7 linked regions of the Macaca mulatta genome follow. The main gene of each other region encodes a partner of the protein of the gene in region 4 in a complex. Links are inferred from orthologs where the notes say so. Each region holds a gene or a part of one and is shown on either strand. Other genes may lie near its edges.

The links.
Region 1: NUP153 (region 4) and NUP93 share a complex: the UniProt entries of both Homo sapiens proteins name them as parts of the nuclear pore complex. The link is inferred for Macaca mulatta from reciprocal best matches to the Homo sapiens genes NUP153 and NUP93.
Region 2: NUP153 (region 4) and NUP214 share a complex: the UniProt entries of both Homo sapiens proteins name them as parts of the nuclear pore complex. The link is inferred for Macaca mulatta from reciprocal best matches to the Homo sapiens genes NUP153 and NUP214.
Region 3: NUP153 (region 4) and NUP205 share a complex: the UniProt entries of both Homo sapiens proteins name them as parts of the nuclear pore complex. The link is inferred for Macaca mulatta from reciprocal best matches to the Homo sapiens genes NUP153 and NUP205.
Region 5: NUP153 (region 4) and NUP160 share a complex: the UniProt entries of both Homo sapiens proteins name them as parts of the nuclear pore complex. The link is inferred for Macaca mulatta from reciprocal best matches to the Homo sapiens genes NUP153 and NUP160.
Region 6: NUP153 (region 4) and NUP188 share a complex: the UniProt entries of both Homo sapiens proteins name them as parts of the nuclear pore complex. The link is inferred for Macaca mulatta from reciprocal best matches to the Homo sapiens genes NUP153 and NUP188.
Region 7: NUP153 (region 4) and CETN3 share a complex: the UniProt entries of both Homo sapiens proteins name them as parts of the nuclear pore complex. The link is inferred for Macaca mulatta from reciprocal best matches to the Homo sapiens genes NUP153 and CETN3.

What each region holds. Positions count from the first base shown.
Region 1 is NC_133425.1:52,438,642-52,442,141, reverse strand, and holds part of NUP93 (nuclear pore complex protein Nup93), read right to left. Parts: intron 2,703-3,500; coding exon 2,586-2,702; intron 1,232-2,585; coding exon 1,113-1,231; intron 1-1,112. UniProt on the Homo sapiens protein: Plays a role in the nuclear pore complex (NPC) assembly and/or maintenance. May anchor nucleoporins, but not NUP153 and TPR, to the NPC. During renal development, regulates podocyte migration and proliferation through SMAD4 signaling.
Region 2 is NC_133420.1:16,423,360-16,427,593, forward strand, and holds the start of NUP214 (nuclear pore complex protein Nup214), read right to left. Parts: upstream 2,801-4,234; 5' UTR 2,682-2,800; coding exon 2,637-2,681; intron 1,084-2,636; exon of another isoform or gene 982-1,083; intron 551-981; coding exon 355-550; intron 1-354. UniProt on the Homo sapiens protein: Part of the nuclear pore complex. Has a critical role in nucleocytoplasmic transport.
Region 3 is NC_133408.1:175,474,967-175,478,308, forward strand, and holds part of NUP205 (nuclear pore complex protein Nup205), read left to right. Parts: intron 1-630; coding exon 631-797; intron 798-2,335; coding exon 2,336-2,459; intron 2,460-2,903; coding exon 2,904-3,032; intron 3,033-3,342. UniProt on the Homo sapiens protein: Plays a role in the nuclear pore complex (NPC) assembly and/or maintenance. May anchor NUP62 and other nucleoporins, but not NUP153 and TPR, to the NPC.
Region 4 is NC_133409.1:165,434,602-165,438,101, forward strand, and holds part of NUP153 (nuclear pore complex protein Nup153), read left to right. Parts: intron 1-71; coding exon 72-266; intron 267-833; coding exon 834-1,718; intron 1,719-3,500. UniProt on the Homo sapiens protein: Component of the nuclear pore complex (NPC), a complex required for the trafficking across the nuclear envelope. Functions as a scaffolding element in the nuclear phase of the NPC essential for normal nucleocytoplasmic transport of proteins and mRNAs.
Region 5 is NC_133419.1:17,735,945-17,740,055, forward strand, and holds the start of NUP160 (nuclear pore complex protein Nup160), read left to right. Parts: upstream 1-1,311; 5' UTR 1,312-1,492; coding exon 1,493-1,694; exon of another isoform or gene 1,695-1,953; coding exon 1,954-2,065; exon of another isoform or gene 2,066-3,638; intron 3,639-4,111. UniProt on the Homo sapiens protein: Functions as a component of the nuclear pore complex (NPC). Involved in poly(A)+ RNA transport.
Region 6 is NC_133420.1:18,641,133-18,644,632, reverse strand, and holds part of NUP188 (nucleoporin NUP188), read left to right. Parts: coding exon 1-124; intron 125-2,376; coding exon 2,377-2,451; intron 2,452-2,532; coding exon 2,533-2,760; intron 2,761-2,874; coding exon 2,875-3,006; intron 3,007-3,264; coding exon 3,265-3,338; intron 3,339-3,453; coding exon 3,454-3,500. UniProt on the Homo sapiens protein: Component of the nuclear pore complex (NPC), a complex required for the trafficking across the nuclear envelope. Required for proper protein transport into the nucleus.
Region 7 is NC_133411.1:96,792,236-96,796,527, reverse strand, and holds the start of CETN3 (centrin-3), read left to right. Parts: upstream 1-1,492; 5' UTR 1,493-1,611; coding exon 1,612-1,628; intron 1,629-3,454; coding exon 3,455-3,590; intron 3,591-4,292. UniProt on the Homo sapiens protein: Plays a fundamental role in microtubule-organizing center structure and function. As a component of the TREX-2 complex, involved in the export of mRNAs to the cytoplasm through the nuclear pores.

The sequences.
Region 1 (3,500 bases), on a different chromosome or scaffold from region 4:
TGGGAGGCTGGGGCGGAATGACTGCTTGAGGCCAGGAGTCAGAGACCGGCCAGGAGTGAGAGACCAGACTGGACACACAGCGAGACCCCATCTCCACAAAATATTAAAATATTAGCCAGGTGTAGTGGTATGTGCCTGTAGTTCTATCTCCTCAGGAGGCTCAGGTGGGAGGATTGCTTGAGCCCAGGAGTTCGAGGTTACAGTGAGCTATGACTGCACCACTGCACTCCACTCCAGCCTAGGTGACAGAGGGAGACCCTGTCTCAACATACAAAAAATACATAAAAAGCATCAAAACCTCTTGAGCTCTCTGGGTGAAGTTAATTAAAGAGTGTAAAATGGTGTTTATTTTGAAACAGCCAAGCACTGATAGTGGATTTGGTATGAATCCACCTACAGGTACTCCACATGGAGCGTGGTTCTCCAGCCTTGACCATCATCTCAGCATCCAATCTTCATGAAAGGTAGAAGGTCCTGACGGGCAAAAAGCCGAGCGGCCATCACTAGGGATTGTTTGCTAGGTGGAGATATCTCATTTACCAAAGAATGCTCTTTTGTGTTACCCCGGGAAAGCACTCCAAACCCAGTTTTCTCTGGGTCATTTTATTAGCAATATCTATAGAGAGCACAAAAAGTAATGTTGTTAGCCTCAGCCTGGGACTTAAACTAGTTAAAAGTCTGATAATTCAGTTAACTCACTGGGGATCCAGGTTGTCTGAAACACTGGCCACGACACCTCTAAGAATCTCCCCCATCCAACTATCACTAGCTTTGGTCTTGAATGCCTTTGAGAGGGCTGATGAGAGTATACAACAGTATATAGGTGAGCATAATGCCTACAATTAAACTTCATGTGCATGACTAAAATACTGAGATGCCCTTTCATACCCATTTCTTTGGCAAAAATGTTAAGTTTGATAGTACCAAGTGCTAGTTCTGATGTGGGGACAAAGGAACTCACGCAGTGCTGGTGGCATGATGAGTTAGAAGAACCACTTTGGAAAGCTGTCTGCTGTTACCTAGTAAAGCTGAACATGCATTTGGGTGGGCAAAGGTGGCCTGGCACTGGCAGTGGCACCCTCAGGGTCCCATGGAGTCAGCTCCTGGCTTACCGTTCAGCAATGGAGAGTGCCATGTTCTTCAGCCTCTCCTTGTTGGACTGCGGGGCACTGATCTGGGGGACGACAGGGCTCAGCAGTTTGTTCATCAGTTCCAGTACCTTGTCAGCATTCTGCTCACGTTTTTAAAATTAAGGAAGCAATCAATAAAATAATCAATAAAAGGAACAAGTATATAATGCCCCCTACCCACCAAAGAGAACTTTCTGGGGTGATGGATGGAAATGTTTGGTATCTTGATCTGGATGGTGGTTACAAAGATATACACCTATGCACAATTCGTCAAGCTGTACATATAATTATTGCACATTTTTCTACATCTTAATTATACCTCAATCAAAGCATTTTTTACCGCCTCCCAGGTTCAAGTGATTCTCGTGCCTCAGCCTCCTGAGTAGCTGGGATTACAGGCATGCACCACAATGCCTGGCTAATTTTTATATTTTCAGCAGAGACGAAGTTTTGCCATGTTGGCCAGGCTAGTCTTAAACTCCTGGCCTCAAGTGATGTGCCCGCCTTGGCCTCCCAAAGTGCTGGGATTACAGGCGTGAGCCCCTGCACTTGGCCTATAGCTGTTTTTTTGGTCTACTTTTCTCAGCTGATAAAGAAGAGAATGTAATCTTGTTTAGGTCATAGAATCCTTAGCAGCTACCATATGTTCTTAGTCATCATTTGTTCTTAGGTAGAAACATGTATTCTAGTCATCTCAAAATGCCCAGCTGTGGTCTTATTTTCTTTCACTCCTTCCTGCACACTGATGTGGTCTTATCTTCTAATACTACTGTTCCCCAGTGTGTCTGTGGCTGCCAGGGTCAGCATAATGCCATTTTCTTTTTTGTTTTTTTTTTTTTTTTTTTTTTTTTTTTTTTTTTGAGACGGAGTCTCGCTGTGTGGCCCAGGCTAGAGTGCAGTGGCCCGATCTCGGCTCACTGCAAGCTCCACCTCCCGGGTTCGCCATTCTCCCGCCTCAGCCTCCGAGTAGCTGGGACTACAGGCGCCCGCCACCACACCCGGCTAGTTTTTTGTATTTTTTTAGTAGAGATGGGGTTTCACCATGTTAGCCAGGATGGTCTCAATCTCCTGACCTTGTGATCCACCCGCCTCGGCCTCCCAAAGTGCTGGGATTACAGGCTTGAGCCACCGCGCCCGGCCCATAATGCCATTTTCAACAGTGGCTTCACCATGGAAATGTGATGGATGCTAATTCTGCTGCCAAGTGAGACAATAGTTCAATGCCTGCAGGACATACTTTCAATATGTTGTTTGGTCAGAAAAATCTTATGGGAAGAAATACAGCTGTAAAATGGGAATTCTGTCCTGACTGGACCATTAACTGTCTAAGCACTAGAGCAAACGCCTCTACAGGGAGGGTGCTACAACAACGACACTGTCGAAGTGGCTGCACATTTAATGCCGAAAGGCTGGCAGACCTGTGAAGTGCAGAAGAAGGAAGCAGGCACACTATACCTTGGCAAGGTCATACAGCTTTGCTGCCTCTTCAAACAGTCCTTTATTTTCTGCCACGGAAGCAACTTTGTTGATAATAGGCTTTGTGTCACTAGTAAACTTATCTATGACTCCAGGCTGACAAGACAAATTATGGAGGGGGAGGAAGAGACAGACGGGTGCACAGAGCTATTATTTTAAACAAAGAGACGCAATTAGGACCCAAAAAATACTTCAAGTGAAATTGCTTGCCCTGGGCAATATATGTACTCCATCAGCCAGACTCTGGCTTTCTTGAAGATATAAAGTCCTATTAAAACTATAAAAGAGACCAAGGAAACTACACATGAAAGGGCAGACTTACTAGAAGCACAGAGGAGTCAGCAATAAGACATCTGTGCTTTCTAATTTTCCAAAATGACCCAGAGAGTCAGTGAAATCAATGATTTTAAATTTGCTGATGAGTAGGAACCACAGAGAAAAAGCAGGAGGCTTAGAGAAAATATCTGAAAGATTTTGGATTTGTTTTCTAAGACAGATGGCAAAAGGAACTCAGTGCTGAAAAAACACATGGCAAGTGGTAACAGGACATTTCTTAAAAAAAAAAATCACCATCACCACTCGACAGCAACTAAATGCTCAGGAGAGCATGAGAGAGGCCTTAGGTACCCTGGGAGAATGAAGGCAAGTGCATAATATCTCTGCCTGGCCATTCTGCTTCTCCACCGGCACTGGACTCTCAGGGCTGGACCAGGTCGAGGTGACTTGCCCTGCCACTTGGGAGGCAGGAGAGGATAAGGTCTTATCTATGTTTCCAGCTCTGTCAACTCACACACACTGGAAGCCTCCTGGCCCCAGTACAGCCTGTTAAAGAAGAAACTATGCAAAGCACTCAGTACCATGCCTGGTGATTGTCATTGCCCAATAACCAAGGCC
Region 2 (4,234 bases), on a different chromosome or scaffold from region 4:
CTAAATAGTACACATTGCCAATAGTTTGGATCGTACTGTTGTGCCAACTGAAAACCCATGCCAATAAAACCCTTCACCCAGAGAGCCAGAGCCCAAGTTCAACTGGGCAAGAATAAAAGTATGGCATAATGGTTAAGTTCTTCCCTCTTGAGCTGAGAAGAACAACTCATGTAAGGAAAAGTACAAAGGACCAAGGAGAAAACCTAGAAAGGCTTCCATTAATCTTCTTGGGAGTCAACCTTCAAACTGACAGCAGTGTTCATTTTAGTATTAGAATGACTTCTTGGGAAGGAAACACAAGAGCATGCCACCACACTCCTCTCTCTACTTTGCAACATAAACCACGGAACTTACCTATTTTATTGGGATCATCTCCGGGTTTATTTTGAATAAGAAGATTTTTAGTAGGAAAAATCTGCAAGCCACTGGCCCCACCAGCAAAGACCAGACCATATTTGTTGGACACAGCAAGCAGACTCGAGCGTTCCTTGGGCAATTCCTCAGGGGAGTCAAAGATTCTCACCTTCTTTAGCGCCCTAAACTGAAAATCCTGTTGTGAAGAATCAAAACAAGATCAATTCAATAAATAAAGAAATTAAAACAAGTTATATTCAGTAGACCCAATTTCAGTACAACAAAAATATATATTACTGAGAACACGGTCTGTCTCAGTTGTCTTTTTTTCTTTTTTGAGACGGAGTCTCGCTTTGTCGCCCAGGCTGGAGTGCAGTGGGCGATCTTGCTTCACTGTAACCTCTGCCTTCCAGGTTCAAGCAATTCTCCTGCCTCAGCCTCCCAAGTAGCTGGGACTACAGACGCCCACCACCATGCCCGGCTAATTTTTGTATTTTTAGTAGAGACAGGGTTTCATTATGTTGGCCAGGCTGGTCTCGAACTCCGGACCTCAAGTCATCCATCCGCCTCAGCCTCCCAAAGTGCAGGCTCACAGGCGTGAGCCACTCCGCTCGGCCTTCAGTGTTTTCTGACATGGAACACTTCACGAATTTGTGTGTCATCCATGTAAAGGGGCCATGCTAGTCTTCTCTGCATGATCCCAATTTTATATGTGCTGCCAAAGGGAGTCTGAGATTACCATCTTCTAAGTCTGTGATTCTATTAATAAACCCTTTTTTTCTTCTACCCCAGTATATCTGAGGAATATGACACAATCCCATTAGGTGGCTCACCACAGGTGGTGATTCTCAAAAAATAATCACTATTCTAGGCCGACACGGTGGCTCACACCTGTAATCCCAGCACTTTGGGAGCCAGAGGAGGGCAGATCACTTGAGGTCAGGAGTTTGTGACCAGCCTGGCCAACATGGTGAAACCCCATCTCTACCAAAGAATATAAAAAATTAGTCAGGCATGGTGGCAGGTGCCTGTAATCCCAGTTACTCGGGAGGCTGAGGCAGGCGAATCGCTTGAGCTGGGGAGGTGGAGGTTGCAGCGAGCCGAGATCATGCCACTGCACTCCAGCCTGGGTGACAGAGCGAGACTATGTCTTAAAAAAAAAAAAAAAAAAGGCCGGGCGCGGTGGCTCAAGCCTGTAATCCCAGCACTTTGGGAGGCCGAGACGGGCGGATCACGAGGTCAGGAGATCGAGACCATCCTGGTTAACACGGTGAAACCCCGTCTCTACTAAAAAATACAAAAAATTAGCCGGGCGCGGTGGTGGGCGCCTGTAGTCCCAGCTACTCGGGAGGCTGAGGCAGGAGAATGGCGTGAACCCGGGAGGCGGAGCTTGCAGTGAGCTGAGATCCGGCCACTGCACTCCAGCCCGGGAGACAGAGCGAGACTCTGTCTCAAAAAAAAAAAAAAAAAAAAAAATCACTATTCTAAACAGGGTATGTATTACTATGCCCTACATGCATGTTAGTGATTTACTGTTCACACAGATGACTAAAATCTTCCTGCATCTTACTTCCTTTCACTATTTAAAACAGATGTAGGCCGTTTGCTGCACCCTCATTCTGTCAGAACACATATAAGAACTATTAAACACACCATCCTGAAGTTATCCCTGGGGGACTCCCACGTTGCCATCACTGGAAACACTTAGCCCTCCCTTTAGGTTCCTGGTTTGAGGCTGATACACCGATATCAAAACAGTCTTCCTAGTCCAGTCAACTAAAGGTTCTGCAGGATGGATGACCTCCCCTGACCCTACGTTAGGCAAGCCCGTACCGCCTTACAGAAATACTGGCAGAGCGAAGGTCTTAAACGATGCTGGCTTTCAGCCCCGCTGTCAAATGTGACTTTAGGGAAATCACTTTCCGAGCCTCGACTTACTCCTCTACGTTAATAACCACTTCGTAGGGCTGCTGCGATGACTACACAGCGACTGGCACACAGTCAACGCTCCATACACAGCAGTTATTGCCACTATTGTGACCGCCACATGAAACTAGCTAGGGTAACTCAAGAGACGTGCACGAGACCAGGATGGGACTGGGAAACTGCATTCGGTGGGGCTATCACGCCAGCGGCGCGGCAGACGCGCAGCTGAGAGCGGTGAACGCGGTAGTCTGTTCAAGCAGGAGACGGGACAGCCGGCACCGCGCTTCGCCTTTCAGCTGGGCTCCAAGGCAACGCCAGGACTAAAGAAGGGAGGGAGGCCCCAGTTAGTCTCTGACCTTCATCTCCCGCTCGGGAATCATGGCATCCATCTCGTCTCCCATCGCGCCGCCCTCGGTGTGTCGAAGCAGCCAACGCTGCCTCCCACGGCCTTGCCCACAGAACCTAGGCCGCTGGACTGCAAACTTCCTTCCCTCAGCGCCAGCGGCGCGCAGTTGATCTCGCATTTCCGGCGCGCGTTGGTGACGTCAAGCTTGGCCGGGGAGGCAGCGGAACCTAAAGAAGCCGCGCGTTCTCCCGGCCGCCGCTCCCCATTGGCCAACTCGTGCTGAATAGGGGCGTGGCCGTGGGGCCCCGGCGCCTGCGCCCTGGATCGTCCTGGTGCCGCTCCCGCCTTCGCAGACAGCGCGGGTTCGCTTAGTGTCAATCTGTCTTCTTGGGTGGCCCACGTCTAAGCGACCTATGCTCCTTGTTCCTCTGACACCTTACAGTTCCTCTTAGATGTAGGTTGGCTATTAGTAGCTTCCGATTCAGATAAGTTAGGAACTTGACAGATGTTTTCGGTGGGCTACTTTAGAGAGAGGCTTTGGGCTATGCAAGGGGAGGAAGGGAGGTTCAGAAAAACGGGGTTGGGGGGTCGCCAGTGTGGAAGGTGGAAGGCTGGAAGGGGAGATTAAAGGGCACGGAAGACCAGCTTTGTTTGCTCCTATCAAGGTGATCATTTCCAGAGCAAGAGCCATATGCATCTCTAGTTGCACGAGTTTGTGCCACGTCCTTTGCAAAAACCTTCAGATGTGGGATCTCATGTAATCTTGAAGACTTCTAGTCATCCTAGGGGTTATTATTTAATTGATGAGGTAGGCCAGGCGCCGGTGGCTCACGCCTATAATCCCAGCACTTGGGAGGCCGAGACAGGAGGATTGCTTGAGCCCAGGAGTTTGAGACCAGCCTGGGCAACATGGCGAGACCCCGTCTCTACAAAAAACAACAAAACAAAACCACAAAAATTAACCAGCAGTGATGGCATGCGCATGTAGTCTCAGCACACTCAGGAGGCTGAGATGGGAGAATTGCTTGAGCCCAGGAGGTCGAGGCTGCAGTAAGCTGTGATTGTACCACTGCACTCCAGCCTGGGTAACAGAGCCACACCCTGCCTCAAAAAATAAAAATGGGCTGGGCGCGGTGGCTCACGCCTGTACGCAGCACTTTGGGAGGTTGAGGTAGGTGGAACACCTGTCAGGAGCTGGAGACCAGCCTGGCCAACATGGTGAAACCCCACCTCTGCTAAAAATACAATTAGCCGGGCGTGGTGGTGGACGCCTGTGGTCCCAGCTACACAGGAGGCTGAGGCAGGAGAATGGCATGAACCCAAGAGGTGGAGGTTGCAGTGAGCTAAGATTGCGCCACTGCACTCCAGCCTGGGTGACAGAGACCGTCTCAGGAAAAAAAAAAAAAAAAAGATATATATATGTATATATACACATCCACATACATAATAATAATTGTTGAGGTAAGGGAAGCACAGGGGAAGTTGAGAAATTTCTCCGGTGGCCCTCAGTCAGAAAGTGGTAGTGACAGGATGAGAACTGAGATTGTCTGGATATAAGGCTGACTGATGATATTACAGTCTTTCGTACAATAAATTTCTGTAGTGAAT
Region 3 (3,342 bases), on a different chromosome or scaffold from region 4:
CCCACTGTTCCTTTGTGTCTTCATTAGCCAGTAGCCAGGTAAAAGGCAGATCACTTTGTTTTACTACCGTAATGTAGTTGTTGTGGTAAAAGATTTTTTAAAGTTTAAATCCATTTATATTTTTTGAATATTTCAGTTAGTGTTCTTGTCTCTTTGAAAGAGAAATGACTTTGAACTGGCAATTTAGTAACCAGAAGGATGCAGACCAGAAATGAATCCATACAACTAGAGCCATCAGGCAAGGCAGAAATTATTCACTTGGTGTTAAGAAACCCCAAAATTGTGTATATTGTTTTTTATGTGGAGGTGTGTGTGTGTGTAAGGTTTATACTTTGATAGAGTTCTCAAAGAACTCTCTGCCTAATAAAAGGTAGACTCTGCCAACGTGCATCAGTCAGATTTCTTTATTCTTGCAGGATCTCCAGCCTTATGTATGTACCTGATTACAGTGGCTCCTAACCATTTGTTCTTTAAACTATCAATGGTATTTAAAAGTAATCTTGGGTTGGTTTTAATGACAGGTTACATGTCCTTAAATTCTGGGGCATGCCTTGTTTTAAAACAGGTCATTTGAAATTCACATGAAATGCTTATAAGTGGAACATTGTTTTATCTCATCACCTCTATTAGATACCCAAGCTCCAGTGGTTCCATACTGGCGCCTGCCTGGTTTAGGCATTATTGTCTACCTGCTGAAACAGAGTGCGAATGATTTCTTCAGCTATTATGACAGTCATCGACAGAGTGTCAGCAAGCTACAGAATGTAGACCAGCTTCCCCCAGATGAGATAAAAGAGGTACGAATCTTATAATGAGCTGGGGGGACTTGAGAAATCATTGCTGTTACTAGGGCCAGGGTGCTGGTCTCAGACTGAGTAAAGACGGTGTATACATTATGACTGGAGGAATTGGAATGATTCTTCTGTGTGATTTGAAGAAGACTCTTTTGCCATAGCACCAGCCTTATAAGCATAGAAACTCTTGACTGAAAAACAGTGAAGTGTAGCACCTGTTCAAAAAAATAAAAAGGCAGCTGGCCTTTGAATGAAGAGTTTTGGGTCATTTATACTGTAAAATCTGTGCTGAGAAAGGCTTCTGTTGCAGATTTTTTTTTAATAGAACTTAGGTAAATGTCTCTGTGCCGTCAGCATCTTCAATATCTGTTTAGCAAATTTTTCAAACAAAATTGGTAGCATATGAGACTTGACTGCCTTCTCTCAGTGACCCAGAATCATTCCCTCTACTTACTGTATTAATAACTGAAGATGCTGAATGACCAGGATTGCTACTAAGTAGTTTGCTGCCTTTTCCATTTGGCACAGCTGAACGTAAGGCATCTCTTGGCCAGTTCCTAAGGCAGTGCTGAAGCTTCCTGGTGTCCTGTGGCCGCCTGGATGTTGAACCACTTTATCATTCCTGGTTTGCACCAAGCTTTCTAAAAACTTCCATGTTACTCTTTTGAGTAGTCCATGCCTACTCCCTCTTGCCACTCTTCTGGTAATCTCAGGGGACATTTATTGAGTGTCTACAACATGCCAGGCCCTGAACTACATGTTCTACCTAACACCTGGGCAGATATTGTTTTTATTCTCATTTCTCGTGAGGAAACGGAGGCACAGACTTGCATAACACACCCAAAGGCATGTAGCTGGCAGGAACAGGGTGAGGCAGGAGTCAATGACTGGGTTTAGGGAACCCCTGAAATTTTGGGTTTATGCCTGGCAGTCCTTCCTCTAACGTGTAGCTAATCAGTGATGCTTGTACTTGCAAGAGAAATTGCATCATTATTATGAAGTGTGTGGCCTTCCATCAGCCTCACTTCAGTACACCTTCCGTGGAACCCAGCTTTGGAACATTAGCTGGAACCATTGTGCTCGTGTGTGTGCCACATTGAGAAGTGGTCATGGGAGCTTTGGTTGAGGGTCATATTTTAGTTATGCTCTAGGTGTCTACCTTGTATTTTTTGCAGGAGATACCTGACAACTGTTAGAAATTCTCCATGGGATTCTTATAGCTACTGCTTGAAAAACCTATCGTTTTGTCTTGCTTTGTTTTAATGTGACAGGAAATTCAGGGTTTCATCAGCAACCCTGACTGTGTTTCAGGGACAGACTTTTTCAAAATGCAGCAGATAAATGTTCATTTGTGAATTTGCTTCTTTGGCTCTAATTTTTTTAAATTGCTAGCTTCTTAGATAAAAAACTCTTTATCTGCAAGGATGTTTAAATTCGAGTGTTTTCACAGCATTTACCACGGTGACCTGCTGATAGTAGTTTTTCATTAAAAATTTTGTTCCAGTTGATGTCATTCTAATAACCACGTTTGTTTCTTCTAGTTGTGTCAGTCTGTGATGCCTGCTGGTGTTGATAAAATCTCCACTGCCCAGAAATATGTTCTAGCAAGACGGCGCTTGGTGAAGGTGATCAACAATCGAGCTAAACTGCTTTCCCTTTGTTCTTGTATCCTTTATGAAATCATGCACTTGAGTGATGACCTTGAAATGTAGGAACTCTTCACTTATTCTCTCAATATTTGGGCACCAAAACCAGGTGGAAGGAGATATAAACTTAATTTTTTCCCAGTAAATGCCTAATGTATTTCCAAATTGTACTTTTTTGTTCTTATCTTTTAGAGTAGCTGGTAATACTGATAATATACATGGGCACTTTCTGTCAGGGAAGAAGGTAGGGACATGAGACTGCTGGCACAGGACCCCCACCTCCTTCCTCAGCACAGCTTGCTGCTTCCTCTTGAGGAGCCTTCAGTGGGACCCTGTCTGTCAGACTGAGGCTGTGGCTACCTCATTAAGTGAGTGCAGTCTCTCCTTTTTTCTCCTCCTCAGAAACTGGTTTGTAAAAAATATTTGATGAGATTATGTTCCTTTAATCTGAGCTCTGATATAGTTATCATAGAGACCTGCCTATTTATTCTTTGGCGCCATCTGGAGTACTACTTGTTACATTGCATGCCCACGGATTCTCAAGATTCCTTATTTGCCTCGAGAACCTTGTTTAAAAGCAGAAGACTGCAAGGTAAACTTTCTGCTAAAAATTAATGAACCATAAATACCTATTTGTGCCTTGAAAAGCTAGTAACGTTTTTATTTATTTATGTTTCCAGATTACTTAGAGTGAATTGGGTGAATCAAGAGCTGCTTAGTCACTAGACGTAGCTATTTCTTGCATTTTACTTTCTGTTCACGGGACATTGTGCCGAGCATAAGAATATTCTAGAGCCTGCTCATCAGCTGTTCCTCAGCTTCTTGCTGCAGTTAGGGACTGACCCAGCTCTAGAAGAATGGAGTAGGTCTGCTATTATGCTGATTCTTATTGCTAGAGTGGG
Region 4 (3,500 bases):
TATAAATTAAAATTTTCATGAATTCTGCCCCTCCCCACTCCCTGTTTTTTTTTTTTTTTTTTTTTTTTTAGGAAGTTCAGTACCTACTTCAAGTAGCAGCACTGTACCCATCTCTCTGCCTTCTGGAGGCTCTCTAGGATTGGAAAAGTTCAAGAAGCCTGAGGGGAGCTGGGACTGTGAAGTGTGCCTAGTGCAGAATAAGGCTGACTCTACCAAATGTTTGGCATGTGAAAGTGCAAAGCCAGGCACAAAATCTGGGTTTAAAGGTAAGGCCAAAAAAATAAAAATAAAGGTGATGGTAAAGCGCCTTTTTGTAAGGCCATTTAAAAATGAAGTATTTGAGAACAGCTTCAGTGTTCACTCATTCTCTCTTGAAAATTAATATAAAATGAGATTATCCTGAGATGTTTATATCTGTTTCTGAATTATTGTAAGGTCAGTTAGTTGCTTGTCAAAGGATATATGCATTTGTAATTTTTGGTAACTAGTGACAGATTGCTCCTTGTGAGTTTTGTGCTCATTTATACACCCACCTGCAATGTGTAGCCTGTTACTTCCAGTCTCATTGCCAGTATAAACTTTATCAAACTTTATCTCAGCCAGTCTGATAAATGAAAAGTGGCATGTCAGGATAGTTGTGAGGAGTGAGATACAATTCTCATACCACATAAATATTGGTCACCTTGAATTATGTTTACGACTGCTGGTAATACTCTTCAAAGTAGACCCTTTCAAAGTTATTCCTATGTTTCTTTGGCGTTCAAGATGTTTATATTTTGTTTGAGAGCATCAGTACATTAATTGTCTATGTGGTGTCTTTTATATTTTTGCAGGCTTTGACACATCTTCCTCATCTTCGAACTCAGCAGCCTCCTCATCCTTCAAATTTGGTGTCCCATCACCCTCTTCTGGGCCTTCTCAGGCTTTAACAAGCACTGGAAATTTCAAATTTGGAGATCAGGGAGGATTCAAAATAGGTGTGTCATCTGATTCTGGGTCTGTAAACCCCATGAGTGAAGGCTTTAAATTTTCTAAACCAATAGGAGATTTTAAATTTGGAGTATCATCTGAATCTAAGCCCGAAGAAGTTAAAAAAGATAGTAAGAATGATAATTTTAAGTTTGGACTTTCTTCTGGTTTAAGCAACCCAGTTTCTTTAACTCCATTTCAATTTGGGGTGTCTAATCTTGGACAGGAAGAAAAGAAAGAGGAACTGCCCAAATGTTCATCTGCAGGTTTTAGCTTTGGTACAGGTGTTATTAACTCCACTCCTGCTCCTGCTAACACCATAGTGACCTCTGAGAACAAGAGCAGCTTCAACTTTGGAACCATAGAAACCAAGAGTGCTTCAGTGGCTCCTTTCACATGTAAGACATCAGAAGCTAAAAAAGAAGAAATGCCAGCCACCAAAGGAGGATTCTCTTTTGGCAATGTGGAGCCTGCCTCTCTGCCATCTGCCTCAGTGTTTGTTTTGGGAAGGACAGAAGAGAAACAGCAAGAGCCTGTCACTTCTACTTCCCTAGTTTTTGGGAAGAAAGCTGACAATGAAGAGCCAAAGTGTCAACCAGTGTTTTCCTTTGGGAATTCAGAGCAAACCAAAGATGAGAATTCTTCCAAGTCCACATTTAGTTTTAGCATGACAAAACCATCTGAGAAGGAATCTGAACAGCCAGCAAAAGCCACTTTTGCCTTTGGAGCTCAAACTAGTACTACAGCTGGTAAGTATTAACTTTATTATTTTTTTTACAAGTTGCCTTTACAGATGCAGCAAGTCAAGTAATGGTTTGCACTGAACGTAGTTGAGAAATACAGAACTCTTTGGGAAGGAACCTAGGATTTTCAGTTTGAACCACTCTTTAAAACCCTCATGATTCTGATGAAGTCATCTGTGGATCTAATTTTGAGAAATACGGCAGTAATGCAAAGCTCAATATAGTGCATATTTATGTGTGTCTTTCTCTTCTGTTTGGGCTTTTATAATCAGAATTGGTATCTACTACCTGGAAAATAAGGATTCTTAGCTTATGAAGTATTTTCTACCATAATCTATGGTATTTATAAATAGTTACAGATAACCAGTCCTCATCAGACATTAAGAAACATAGACAACAAATATAATTAATCCTGAGAAACCAAGAGATTTTGAAAGCTGAAGTCCTGGGGGAAAAAAAATGACACAGCACCTTAAAGGTTAAAAGCATCATTGTTGGTGGATCATATTAAAGTCATTCTGTGGGCGGAATAGCAGGAAGAACATAGCTGATCATCAGATTAGTGAACTAGAATTTCCCTGAACTTAGTGCACAAGTACAAAGAGTGATCCAAGTTAGATCCACAAGTTCCTCTGGAACAGGAGTGACCTAGAAGATAAGAAGTTTTGGGGGAATATCAAAGAAGTGACAGAAGAAAATTTTCTAGATCTAAAGAAAGACATTGGTCTTAAAAATGGAAATTACCTATTGGCAAAGATCACTGAAATTTAGGACACCAAAGCTAAAACCCCAAATGCTTTCAGAGAGAAAAGCTATTTGCCACAAATAGGAAGATACCAGATTAGCATCATCTTCTAATTTGCAACATCACATGCTAAAAACAGAACAGTACCCTCAAAATGAAAATGTTCTTGAACCTAGAATTCTGTTACTAGCCAAATGTGTTTAAGTATAAAGACAGTCCGGGTGCCGTAGCTCACACCTGTAATCCCAACTAGTCAGGAGGCTGAAGCACAAGAATTTCTTGAACCTGGGAGGCAGAGGTTGCAGTGAGCTGAGATTGGCCACTGCACTCCAGCTTGGGCAACAGAACGAGCCTCTGTCTCAAGAAAACCCAACAACAACAACAAACACAGAGGCAAAATACAGGTGTTTTTAGATGTGCAAAAAGTGCAAAAGTTGAATATCCATGAATACTTTTGGATAATAAATTGGAAACACTCAAAATTAACTTTTATATGGAATTCAACAAATAACTATGAGCAGTTTTTTGTCTGTCATATATTTACTTAGAAATATAAAGATAAAATAAAAGCTAAAATTACATATTATTTGGAAAGCAACAGAAATATGATAGGGTCTAATCAGATTTGATGGTGAAACACCAGGCTGTGGTAGACACTCTTAACCATTCTTCCATTAGCCAGCTTGAAAGTGAGCCAACGTGTTCCATTTTCTGTAAGTCAGACTAATGCCGATAGCATACTGTGACCAGCCCTGCATAGTGTGAAGTATTGGAACTGAGAGATTATTGGAATAGTTTAGAAAAAAGTCTTCAATAAGGTGGCTGGATTCAGAATCATGATATAAAAATCAAAAGTTTTTCTTCAAATCGGCATATCTCATTTGTTTTTTTCTAACATTTCTAACTTGTATTTTATAAAAGCAGCAGAACTTTTAACATGCCAAATAATAAAAGAACACAAAAGGCGTACTTGTTGCTGGGCAAAGATATTCCCTTCCTCCTCCCATAATTTTAGTTCTTAGGGGAATTTTTGTAGAGCTTGA
Region 5 (4,111 bases), on a different chromosome or scaffold from region 4:
TCCCAAGCAGCTGGGATTACATGCACGCATCATCATGCCCCCGCTAATTTTTCTTTTTTTTTTTTTTTTGGAGACGGAGTCTTGCTCTGTCACCCAGGCTGGAGTGCAGTGGCGCGATCTCGGCTCACTGCAACCTCTGCCTCCCGGGTTCAAGTGATTCTCCTGCCTCAGCCTCCCGAGTAGCTGGGATTACAGGCGTGCATTACCATGCCCAGCTAATTTTTTGTATCTCACTGTTTCACCATGTTGGCCAGGCGGGTCTGGAACTCCTTACCTCGTGATCCGCCCACCTCTGCCTCCCAGAGTGCTAGGATTACAGGCGTGAGCCACTGCGCCCGGCTAATTTTTCTGTTTTTCGTAGAGGCCGGGTTTCACCATGTTGGCCAGGCTGGTCTTGAACTCCTGACCTCAAGTGATCCTCAAGTCTTGGACTCCCAAAGTGCTGGGATTACAGGCGTGAGCCACCACACCCGACCTTGGTGTATAGTTTTCTTCAGGCACGTTCAGCTACAGATTTGAATGTAATCGAAGTTGTTTTTACTGATGAAGAGTTAGGCAATGAAGTAATTTAATGGTATTCAGGATAAGGAAGAAACACCAAAGAAGTGAGGGACAGTGAAGAGCTTGTATAACAATGGATTTCAGGTAGAATGAGGGGGCTGCACTGCCAAAGTTGGTGTCCCAGAGGGAGTGAAGTGGAAAGATAGGAAATGATGGTCGGAACCAGATAAATGAAACAGAGAATGACAGGGAATGGCTGTGGTCACTGGTAATAGAAGTGACCAACAAGCGTTGGCTATCACTAAGGAACAAAACCTTCCCTGCTGGAGATTAGCATTTTCCCCGATTTTGAACATCTACCCCCACAATATCTTCTAAACATCCACTATGGGCCCTTATTGCATTGACAGCCAAGTGCAAGATCACGGTTGGAATGAATGGCAAATTCTTTTCACGTATCCAAGTGAGTAGCACTCAGGTAACCTCAGCAGGTGGCAGCATCAAGGTTTACCACATTACGTTTCATTATACAGGAATACACGAATACAGTCTCTTGGGGGGAAAAAAGACCAAAACCAAAGGCCCTTCCCTCACTACCCCTTCCTCACCCCGCCAACCCAAGTGCCACTGAAGAGCGAAGGGAGGATCGGCAAAGATTTACAGACGGACACCCTAACCGAGGGAGAGGTGACCAAACACCCGGGATCCGGCAGAGGACGCCCAAAGGCCGGACCTCCCCGGACCTCGCCCCTCCTGGGAGACTGAGCCCCGCGTTTTGGAAACAGAAACAAACCCGGTCCCGCCCCCTGCCCTGCGGCCGCTGAGAAAAGGGCACCGCCCTCCGGAGGCGTTCCAGCCGGCCACTCGAAGATTCCAGCAGATACAGTCGGCCTCCCCTGCCCGCTTCTCTTCTGGATTCCCCGCTGCCCATCCTCATTCTCCCGGTGGAAGCCCCGCAACGAAGGACGGAAGCCCCCTTTCTGCTCCCGGGATGCTTCACCCGTCCGCAGCTCCGCCCGCCCCGCCCCCGGAAGTGACGGCGGCCGCGCGGCCCTGCCTTTGTCCCGTCGGGCATCGCGGCGACGGCGGGAAGATGGCGGCGGCGGGATCCCTGGAACGAAGCTTCGTGGAGCTAAGCGGGGCTGAGCGCGAAAGGCCGAGGCACTTTCGGGAATTCACAGTCTGCAGCATTGGTACGGAAGTGGCCAGGGAGGGCGCGATCCGATCTGTCCCCTCGGGCTCCTCTCATGGGTCCTAGGGTCTCTGACTGCTGGGTTCATCCTCCTGAGTCCACATGCCTCCAGCCCCGGGATCAGAGATTCCTTGATGTCCGACGTTTTCCTCTTTTCTTTGTATGGGTTGTCAGTCTGTCACCCTCTGCTTTATCAGGTCCCTTAGTCCCTGTCATTTCTCAGAAGACGCGTGTGCAGGCTGACCACGTTCATTTTGCAGGGACCGCAAATGCCGTGGCTGGCGCCGTAAAATACAGTGAGAGCGCGGGAGGCTTTTACTATGTGGAGAGTGGCAAGTTGTTCTCCGTAACCAGAAACAGGTTCATTCATTGGTAAGTGCTGTGGTTCGCCAAACTCCCCTGGAAGGTAGGGTTTGGTGTGTAAATTTTAGTTGCTGTTCCCAAAGTGCTATTCTAGAAGCGGTAATCGACACTTAGGGAAAGAGAAAGTTTTTTTTTTTCAGTTCGTATCAGAGTCGGGAAAACTGAGACAGTTCTAGAAGAGTTTACCCTCCCCCCCCACCAATACACACACACACACCAAGCAACACCAAAAGCAGAGGGAATGTAGCTTAGGGGTATAAAGCCCATAAGACTAGTTTTAAACATGAACCCATTATGTTTTTATAGTGCTTTACAGCTTCCTTCATTGAACAAATATGTTCGAGCTTCAATATGTCAGGCATTGTGCTAGGTACCAGGACGAAATGAACAAAACTGCCATCTTCATCATGCAAGACGTTGTAGCAATGTCAGAATAGTTGTGGACTCACTTTTCATGGGGAAATTTTGTGGAGGAAAACTTGCCCTAGAGGAAAAATACAGGGGTTACGAGAGGCTAATGAGAGGACCAAATGTTATTAGTGGGGCAGGAAAAGGCTTTCACAGTTACCCTGAGATCTAAAGGACACGAGGTTAGCCAGGTATGGGGAGTGGACAGAGAGGAGTCCAGCAAGCAGGATCACCATATGCAAAGGTCACAAAGTGGAAAGAATGTGGCAGGTTTGGAACTGACCAAAGATCTGTGTGGCTTAAGTGCAGTGGGTAAAACAGAAAGTAATGTGAGATACTGAGGCTGGAGAGGTAGGCAGGACTCGGACCATGAGGGACCCTTAGGCCATTTTTAAGGATTTTTGGATTTTATCCTAAGTACATTGAGTAATAATGGAATAGGTTTTTAAAGAGTTACTAACATCAAAATTGCATTTTTGGATGGGAACAGTTAACACTGGGGATTCCAAAAGGAGCGGGGGAGCAGAGGTTGGAAAACCTATCAGTTACTGTGTTCACAACTTGGGCGGCAGGATCATTAGAAGCCCAAACCTCATGTAGATAGGAATATATACACAATATACTCATGTAACAAAGCTGCACATGTACCCCTGAATCTAAATTTTTTAAAATGTATTTTTAGAAGATCTCAGTCTACTTTGTGGAAAGTGGATTTGGATTAGATGGGTATAATGCAAAAAAAAGTTTGCTTTTATGATGGCCCAAGTAAGGGTTGCTGGTGGTTCAATTGTGGGAATGAATAGAAATAGAAAAGTAGATGGATTCAAGATACCTTTGGAAGATAGATTCACTAGGACTTGGTGGTGGATTGAATATGGGGTAAGGGATGGTAAAAGAAAAGGAGAGAACAAGGACAGCTCCCTGGTGTCTCATGTGACTAACCAGATGTGAGTGGGGAGGGGTTGCCATTTACAGAGATCCATAGAAGATGGATTTTGGAAAGATATGAATAATTCTGTTGGACATAGTAAATTTGAAGTACCTGGGGAGCAGCCCTTTGGAAATGTCAAGTAGGCATTGAAATTTACAGGTCTAAGGCTCAAAAGAGAGACTTTATGTTAGAGATACAAATTTCATTTAGTTAAATATTTTGGCTGGGCACAGTGGCTCACACCTGTAATCCCAGCACTTTGGGGGGCTGAGGTGGGAGGATCTCTTGAGGCCAGGAGTTCAAGACCCCATTTCTACAATTTTTTTTCTTTTTTCTTTCTGTTTTTTTTTCTTTTCTTTTTGAGAGACAGTCTGGTGGCTCCATTGTCCAGGCTGGAGTGCAGTGGTGCAATCATGGCTCACTGCAGTCTCCGCCTCCTGGGTTCAAGTGACCCTCCCACCTCAGCCTCCCAAGTAGCTGCAATTACAGGTATGCGCCACCATGCCCAGCTGATTTTTCTATTTGTTTTTGTAGAGATGGGGTTTTGCCTGGTTGCCCAGGCTGGTCTTGGACTGCCGGACTCAAGCAGTGCCCCATTCTCGGCCTCCCAACTTGCTGGGATTACAGGCGGAGCCACCATGTCCGGCCTGATTTTTAAAAATTAGCCAGGCGGGGTGGCATGTGCCTTTCATCTTAACCACTCAGGAGGCTGAGGC
Region 6 (3,500 bases), on a different chromosome or scaffold from region 4:
GAGGACAGTGCAGAGTCTGGCCTGCCTGGAGGAGGCGGACCACACCGTGGGTTTTATTCTGCAGCTCTCCAACTTCATGAAGGAGTGGCACTTCCACTTGCCTCAGCTCATGCGTGATATCCAGGTGGGGGCCCCGGATGGTGTCCTGGAGTCTGGAGTAATGCTTGGAGACAGGGAGGCTGTGAGCTCTCACTGGGGCACCTCTAGTGAATTGCAGGATGTTCCTGAACGGGGGCTTTTCCCTTGCGGAACACAGGGTTTGGTGTCATGTGCTTACTCTGGCTAAATGTTTCCTTTCATAGTCAAGGGTAGCCATGTAGATTAAGAACTTGTACTTGCCGGGCGCGGTGGCTCAAGCCTGTAATCCCAGCACTTTGGGAGGCTGAGGCGGGCGGATCACAAGGTCAGGAGATCGAGACCACAGTGAAACCCCGTCTCTACTAAAAATACAAAAAATTAGCCGGGCGCGGTGGCGGGCGCCTGTAGTCCCAGCTACTCGGGAGGCTGAGGCAGGAGAATGGCGGGAACCCGGGAGGCGGAGCTTGCAGTGAACCGAGATGGCGCCACTGCACTCCAGCCTGGGCAACAGCGTGAGACTCCGTCTCAAAAAAAAAAAAAAAAAAAAAAAGAACTTGTACTTTATCAGTTAGATATTGGTTCAGATCCTTTGAGAATACACCTGCGGGCCGGGCGCGGTGGCTCAAGCCTGTAATCCCAGCACTTTGGGAGGCCGAGGCGGGCGGATCACGAGGTCAGGAGATCGAGACCATCCTGGCTAACACGGTGAAACCCCGTCTCTACTAAAAATACAAAAAGAAATTAGCCGGGCGTGGTGGCGGGCGCCTGTAGTCCCAGCTACTCCGGAGGCTGAGGCAGGAGAATGGCGTGAACCCGGGAGGCGGAGCTTGCAGTGAGCCGAGATCGCGCCACTGCACTCCAGTCTGGGCGACAGAGCGAGACTCCGTATCAAAAAAAAAAAAAAAAAAGAATACACCTGGGACCAGGCGTGGTGGCTCATGCCTGTAATCCTAGCACTTTGGGAGGCAGTCAGGAGTTTGAGACCAGCCTGGCCAACATGGTGAAACCCCATCTCTATTAAAAATAGAAAAATTAGCTGGGCGTGGTGGTGCGTGACTGTAATCCCAGCTACTCAGGAGGCTGAGGTGGGAGAATCGCTTGAACCTGGGAGGCGGTGGTTGCAGTGAGTCAAGATCGAACCGTTACACTCCAGCCTGGGCGACAGAGCGAGACTCCCATCTCGGGGAAAAAAAAAAAAAAAAAAAAAAAAGGCTGGGCGCAGTGGCTCACGCCGGTAATCCCAGCACTTCGGGAGTCCAAAGCGGGCGTATCACAAGGTCAGGAGCTCAAGACCAGCCTGGCCGATAGGGTGAAACCCCATCTCTACTAAAAATACAAAAATTAGCTGGGTGTAGTGGCGCACGCCTGTAGTCCCAGCTACTCGGGAGGCTGAGGCAGGAGAATGGCGTGCACCTGGGAGGCGGAGGTTGCAGTGAGCCGAGGTCACACCACTGCACTCCAGCCTGGCGACAGAGCAAGACTCTATCTCGGGGAAAAAAAACACTGAACAAAACCAAAAACACACACACACCTGGAGCTGGGAACCAGCTGGAGGTGAAGAAAGAACACAGGCTCCAGAGCCAGGCAGGCTTCTCTCATCTGCTGGTTGTATGAGCTTGGCCAAGTCACTTCAGTTATTTGTAACCTTTTATTCTTTTCTCATAAAATGGAATCAGCCATAATCCTCATCTTCATTTTATTTATTTATTTATTTATTTATTTATTTAGAGACAGAGTTTTGCTCTGTCGCCCAGGCTGGAGTGCAGTGGCGTGATCTCGGCTCATTGCAAGCTCTGCCTCCCGGGTTCACGCCATTCTCCCGCCTCAGCGTCCCAAGTAGCTGGGACTACAGGTGCCCGCCACCGTGCCCGGCTATTTTTTTGTATTTTTTAGTAGAGACAGGGTTTCACCGTGTTAGCCAGGCTGGTCTCAATCTCCTGACCTTGTGATCCGCCTGCCTCGGTCTCCCAAAGTGCTGGGATTACAGGCTTGAGCCACCATGCCCAGCCTCATCTTCTATTATTTTAGGACCTTATAATATACGAGGCACCTAGCTGGGTCCCAGTGAAACAGTCCAGTCCTGAGCCCTACTGGCCCCGAGTTTGTAGCCCTGAGTACTTAGTGGCTATAAGGGCTTTAAAGCTGGAAAGTGGCCAGGGGAGCATGAGGGAGGGAGGGAGAGAAGAGCAGCAGCGAGTGAGAACGCGTGGGTGTTACGTGGAGGGCTGTTGGTTTGGGCTAGTTGGGTGACTGGGCTGCTGACAAGAGAATCCCTCATCTCTCCTGTGTCTCTCCCAGGTCAACCTGGGTTACCTGTGCCAGGCATGCACCTCCCTCCTGCACAGTCGAAAGATGCTGCAGCATTACTTACAGGTAAGCGTCCTATGCCATGAGGGGCTGGAATACCTCACTGTGGCTTCCCGAGCTCCACCTTCATTTCTTGACTCTCCCTAGAACAAAAATGGGGATGGCCTCCCCTCGGCCGTTGCCCAGCGAGTCCAGAGGCCACCGTCTGCTGCTTCTGCTGCCCCCTCCTCCTCCAAGCAGCCCGCTGCTGACACAGAGGCATCAGAGCAGCGGGCCTTGCACACAGTCCAGTATGGCCTTCTCAAGATCCTCAGCAGGACGCTGGCAGCCCTGCGCCACTTCACCCCAGATGTCTGCCAGATCCTGCTGGATCAGGTACCGACCATCATCTGTTCGGCACCACCTCCCCTAAAGGCTCTGCTCTGCTGTGCACTGAGAGCTACCTGGGGCCTTAACTGGGTCCTGGATGGCTCTTGACTTTTCTTGCAGTCCCTGGACCTTGCTGAATACAACTTCCTGTTTGCCCTGAGCTTTACCACTCCCACCTTTGACTCCGAAGTGGCCCCCTCCTTTGGGACCCTTCTGGCTACAGTGAATGTGGCCCTCAACATGCTTGGAGAGGTAAGTGGGTTCTGTCACTGTCCTCTCTCCCGGCTCCTCCCCCAGCCCGCCACTTTCAGCCAACCTTGGGCATGGTACCTAGCCTCCCGAGACTGCTCCTCTCCGTAAACTGAACATGACAGCACCTCTGAGAATTACTGTGAGGATTAAATGAGGTAACTGATGAAATTTGTTTAGTGCAGGGCATGCAAGTAGGAAGCTCTCAGTAAGTGGGAGCTGTTCCTGTTGTCTTAGTTTTTTACCCTTCCTTCTCTTCAGCTGGACAAGAAAAAGGAGCCCCTCACCCAGGCAGTGGGGCTCAGCACACAGGCAGAAGGGACCAGGACGTTAAAGTAAGCGCTCTTTCTGAGATTTGATAAGGGGCTGGGGAAGTCATGGGCCCACTATTCTCAGGTTTGGCCAGCCTGGCCCTCTGTAGCAGTGCCAAAAACCTGCTTCTCCTCCCAGGTCCCTCCTGATGTTTACCATGGAAAACTGCTTCTACCTGCTCATCT
Region 7 (4,292 bases), on a different chromosome or scaffold from region 4:
TTTGACCAGTTTCCTTTTAAAACGTTGTTCTCAAACTTTACTAATTTCCTCTTCCTAATTTCAATTATACAATTTTGTTCTTCATTTCTAACATCTTCAAATAAATGCCTGGTCTATTTTTATTCTTTCTTATTTAAAATAATGTTCTCCTATAGTTTGGTCTGTGTCTTAAAATGTTAACATATAGTTTTTTTCAATATCACTATGTTCTAGTAATTACAATTTCTCTTTCCTTTTAGACTCAAAGGTGATTTATAAAGGTACTTTAAAATTTAAAATACGAACAAAATAAAAGTTCCGCTTTTGTTTTTTAGGGGTGCTATCCCTTAGCTAATTTTTAGCTTGTTCTATCATACTATCTTTACTTGTGCAAATTTAGCCCATCCTTGTAGGTCTAACGTTTATGCCACCTCTTTAGGAAGCCCATCTTGTGCTCTCTCCCTTCTCTAAAATTTTATATACATCCCTTAAACATATGTTTACATATTCTCCGCCTTCAACTCCCATTCTCAGGCTATTTTATTCCCGTTTATGAGATTTGCTGTTTAGCTCAGTATTTTGTGGGTTTTCAAAAGATTCCACTCAATTTACCGAGCACCTATGCACCAGACATTTTATTAGGTACAAGGAAAAGCGTTAAATAGATATAATCATGGCCTTCAAGAAACTGAACCTGGTAAGGGAGACGAATAAGTAGACATTCAAGTGAGCTTTAGGAGACTTGGTTTGGTAGTGAATACAGTCTCACGTGTATTAACAATTTACAGCACCGTAAAATAAGAGACAGAAGCCAACAAATCCGTTTCAAACAGTTCAAAGGAGGAAAAGGAGAGGGAAGGGCGGTTTAGATACAGCATCACCATAAATAGCCTGATAATCTAACCCTGTGATAATCCAAGTATAGTCACAGCACCTGCCTCAGAATCACTTGGAAGGCTTGTGAGGAATACAAACGCAGATTCATACCTACTGAAATTAGAATGGAGAAAGGGGCATTTAAGTCTGCATTTTAAAGACATTCCCCAGGTACTGAAGCCATCCAAAGTTTTAGAACAGAGCAGAGCCACGCTTCGCAGACCTTGTTCCTCAACTACTGCCTCCTTCTAGCCGGAGGGTGGCGTGCAGCGTGTCCCTTCCCTTCCCACCGTCCAAGTTATCTATCCAGTTTTCGAACGTCGGCCCACAGACCGCAGGACAATACGCGAGAGACTAGGAGCACCCACTACGCAAACCACCACACAGGGATCGGAGGCCGGACCCGCAAAGGATTTGGGGAAAAAGGCATCAGGCCAATCCGAAGGGCGAGAGCGGCCCTAGGAATGGAGGGGCGGGGTGGGTGGCGGGGGGGGGGGGGCGGGGAGAGAGAGGTTTTTTTTTTTTCTTGATTGACGTAAAGCGTACCCAATTAAAATAAAACTGGTAAAGCTTCCGCCATAATGGGCAGAACCATAGCGACATTTCAACCAATCCAGCTCAAAAGTGTCTATGTTGTGGGAGGTCCCTGAGGCCGCTGAGGTCGTTCGTGTCTGTTGAACGGTTGTGGGAGTCTTGCTGCTTTGGGTAGGGGGTTAAAATCGTTTCTTGAGAGGAACGACTCTGTCCGAAGAGATAATGAGTTTAGCTCTGAGGTCGGTAATAAGGAGGCGGCAGTGCTCTCCACACCCCGGAGCGGGACCTAGGGAGGGTGTGTGTGGAAGGGAGGCCGTTTGGGGCCGTGGCGAGGCAGGGGATGCTGTTTGGGATGCGGGAAAGGAGCCTAGGGCAGCCTGTCTGGATCACTCACCCTCTGGGCTCTGGTGCCCTGCAGGGAACGAGACTTCCAGTGCATTTCTACTAAGGAGGTTATTTCTGTCAGCGCGTAGGGCTTTCGACTACCAAAAAAATGGGCTTAGTTGCGAGCGAGGGGGAGGGAATGAAATATCGCGAGGCTTCTACTCTGTTGCTCTGAGAGATCAGGCCGCGGAACATCCCTTCATTCAATTCGTATGCCTGGCCAGGGCCCCACCTCCGCTGCTCTGCTGCTGATGCAATCATCCACCTATAAATTTTGGAAATAACAAAAAACTCTTTGCTATTCTCCCAAGGTCCTGCTTTACGGTGTAATTAGAAACCCATTTTAGTGACTAATTGGCAAACTGTCTCTTGGATTTCCTGTTTCTTTCATTTCTTTACCTTTCAGTTCTAACCTCTAACCCTCTGTCTGTTACCCGCTCCCCCTACGTAGACGTTGTACCGTAAAACTATACATATACTTAGGACACTCTAAAAATGTTCCATGTTCTGCTAAGGGATAATCATGGTACCCTTGGATGGGGTCAGGGGTGGGTCGGTTCTGGACTTGGCCTCTAAAAGTCTCAGGAAGGAAAAGACTGACCCCAGGAATACCCAAGTTTGTGTCAAGTCAGGTCTCATGAAAGGAAGATCTTCCTCAGCTTTGTCATACTGCATCTACTGGTCACTTCCTAGCCTTTTTTTTTTTTTTTTTTTTTGTAGCGTTCAGAGACCAAAACGACTTTCAAATGCAGCTAGATACGTGTTTTAAATACAGTCAACTGGTTTTGACATGTTAATGTGTTACCAGATTGTGTGTTTCAAAACTTGTTCTTATACCAGTGTTGCGGCTCCATTGGAAAACTTGGAGCACATTTAGATGGGCAGCTCTTACGGAAAACATTTCTGGCTTTAAAGTAATTTTTGCTTTTTTCTTTAAGCGTTTCCAGAGTTTATGAGAAGTTTAACCTCCAGTTTACATCTTAAGTGAGACAAGACTTATGAAGCACAAATATTGTATACTTTTTTGACATCTAATATTTGTCATATGTTTAGACTCATTAATATTTTGGGTGATTTGTTAATATCAGTGGAGGAAATGACACATAAATTGCCAAACTGTTAGAAACGTGTAATCTAAAAACATTTTGAACCAACAGTCCCAAAATATAAGTTAATCCAGTTGTATTTTTTGTAGTAATTTTATGAACTTAATTATCAGAACTATCAAAAGTAAACCGATATATGGTGATTGTCAGTTACGAATTTTGGTTTCATTTGGAGATTTTTTGGTTTCTTTAACATTCTTGTAGAATAATGTGAGTGTTTTTGTTTTTTTTTGGTTGGAGTTGGTTGGAGTTTCAGACATAAAAGTAATGTTGCTTATTCACAGTTCTTGAATAAATAAAAAGTTAGGGAAAGTGGGAATAAATAAAAAGCTGGGAAAAGGAAAAGTTTGGTCCTCATTTCTTTTAATAATCTGTAACACTCTTTAGTTTTGGGAAGTTCATATTTATAGCAATTTAGACTATGGAATAAACAGGGCATTGACTCATAAAGGGAAAGTTTCCCTGTCTTTCTCCAAAGTACTTTCTTTTTTGAAATTTAGAAAATAATTATTGGCTAATTTCTGTTAGTAAAGAGAATTAAAGTGGACTAAGGGCTTTTTCTTTCCATTTCATAGAAGTGAGCTTGTAGTAGACAAAACAAAGAGGAAAAAAAGAAGAGAACTGTCTGAGGAACAGAAACAAGAAATTAAAGATGCTTTTGAACTATTTGATACAGACAAAGATGAAGCAATAGATTATCATGAATTAAAGGTAATGGTATACTTTAAAATACTTGTTTCTGTGTTAAAATGATTTGCATTTTGACAGTTGCTTTACATTACATTTCTAAGTAATTATTTTAACTAAATTGGTTTTGGAACTATGAAGGCATTTTAAGCATTCATAGTTAGATTCTATAATAATACTGAATAGAACTCCTAACACAGTTTTTAGAAAATCTTTTTCACGTGATAAAACGAATAGCATTTTAAATGTAACAATACATTCCTAGGGAAGGTGCTTATTTTTCACTGACATAATTAAAGGATTTCAAACTGGAATTTAAACTATTACCATATTCTTTTCACTGTTTTTTTTGTTTTTGTTTTTGTTTCTTGGTGACTCATACTGTTTTCAGATTGTGGGATTGTTGTCTTTTAATCTTATAATTTGTATTTGTTAGTAACATAGTCTCAATCCACTTTCTGTGGTACAAACAACTTCAGTGCTGTTTGATGTTGACACATGCTTGTAGGTAAAAATGTCAACTTTAAGACCTAGAATGTCAAGGTGTAGAGAGGGATTTGTAAATTATTATTTGTCAGGGTATAAGGAGAGATTTGGGTTTAGGGTAGAATGGGACTTACTTTCAGCACAGTGGGAAAGATAGTATTTTGAGATTTTTAATAGCCTTAATGGATAGGTGAATGTAAGTGTTTATTTGATAGTTTTAATTTTTGTAATTTCTTAAGG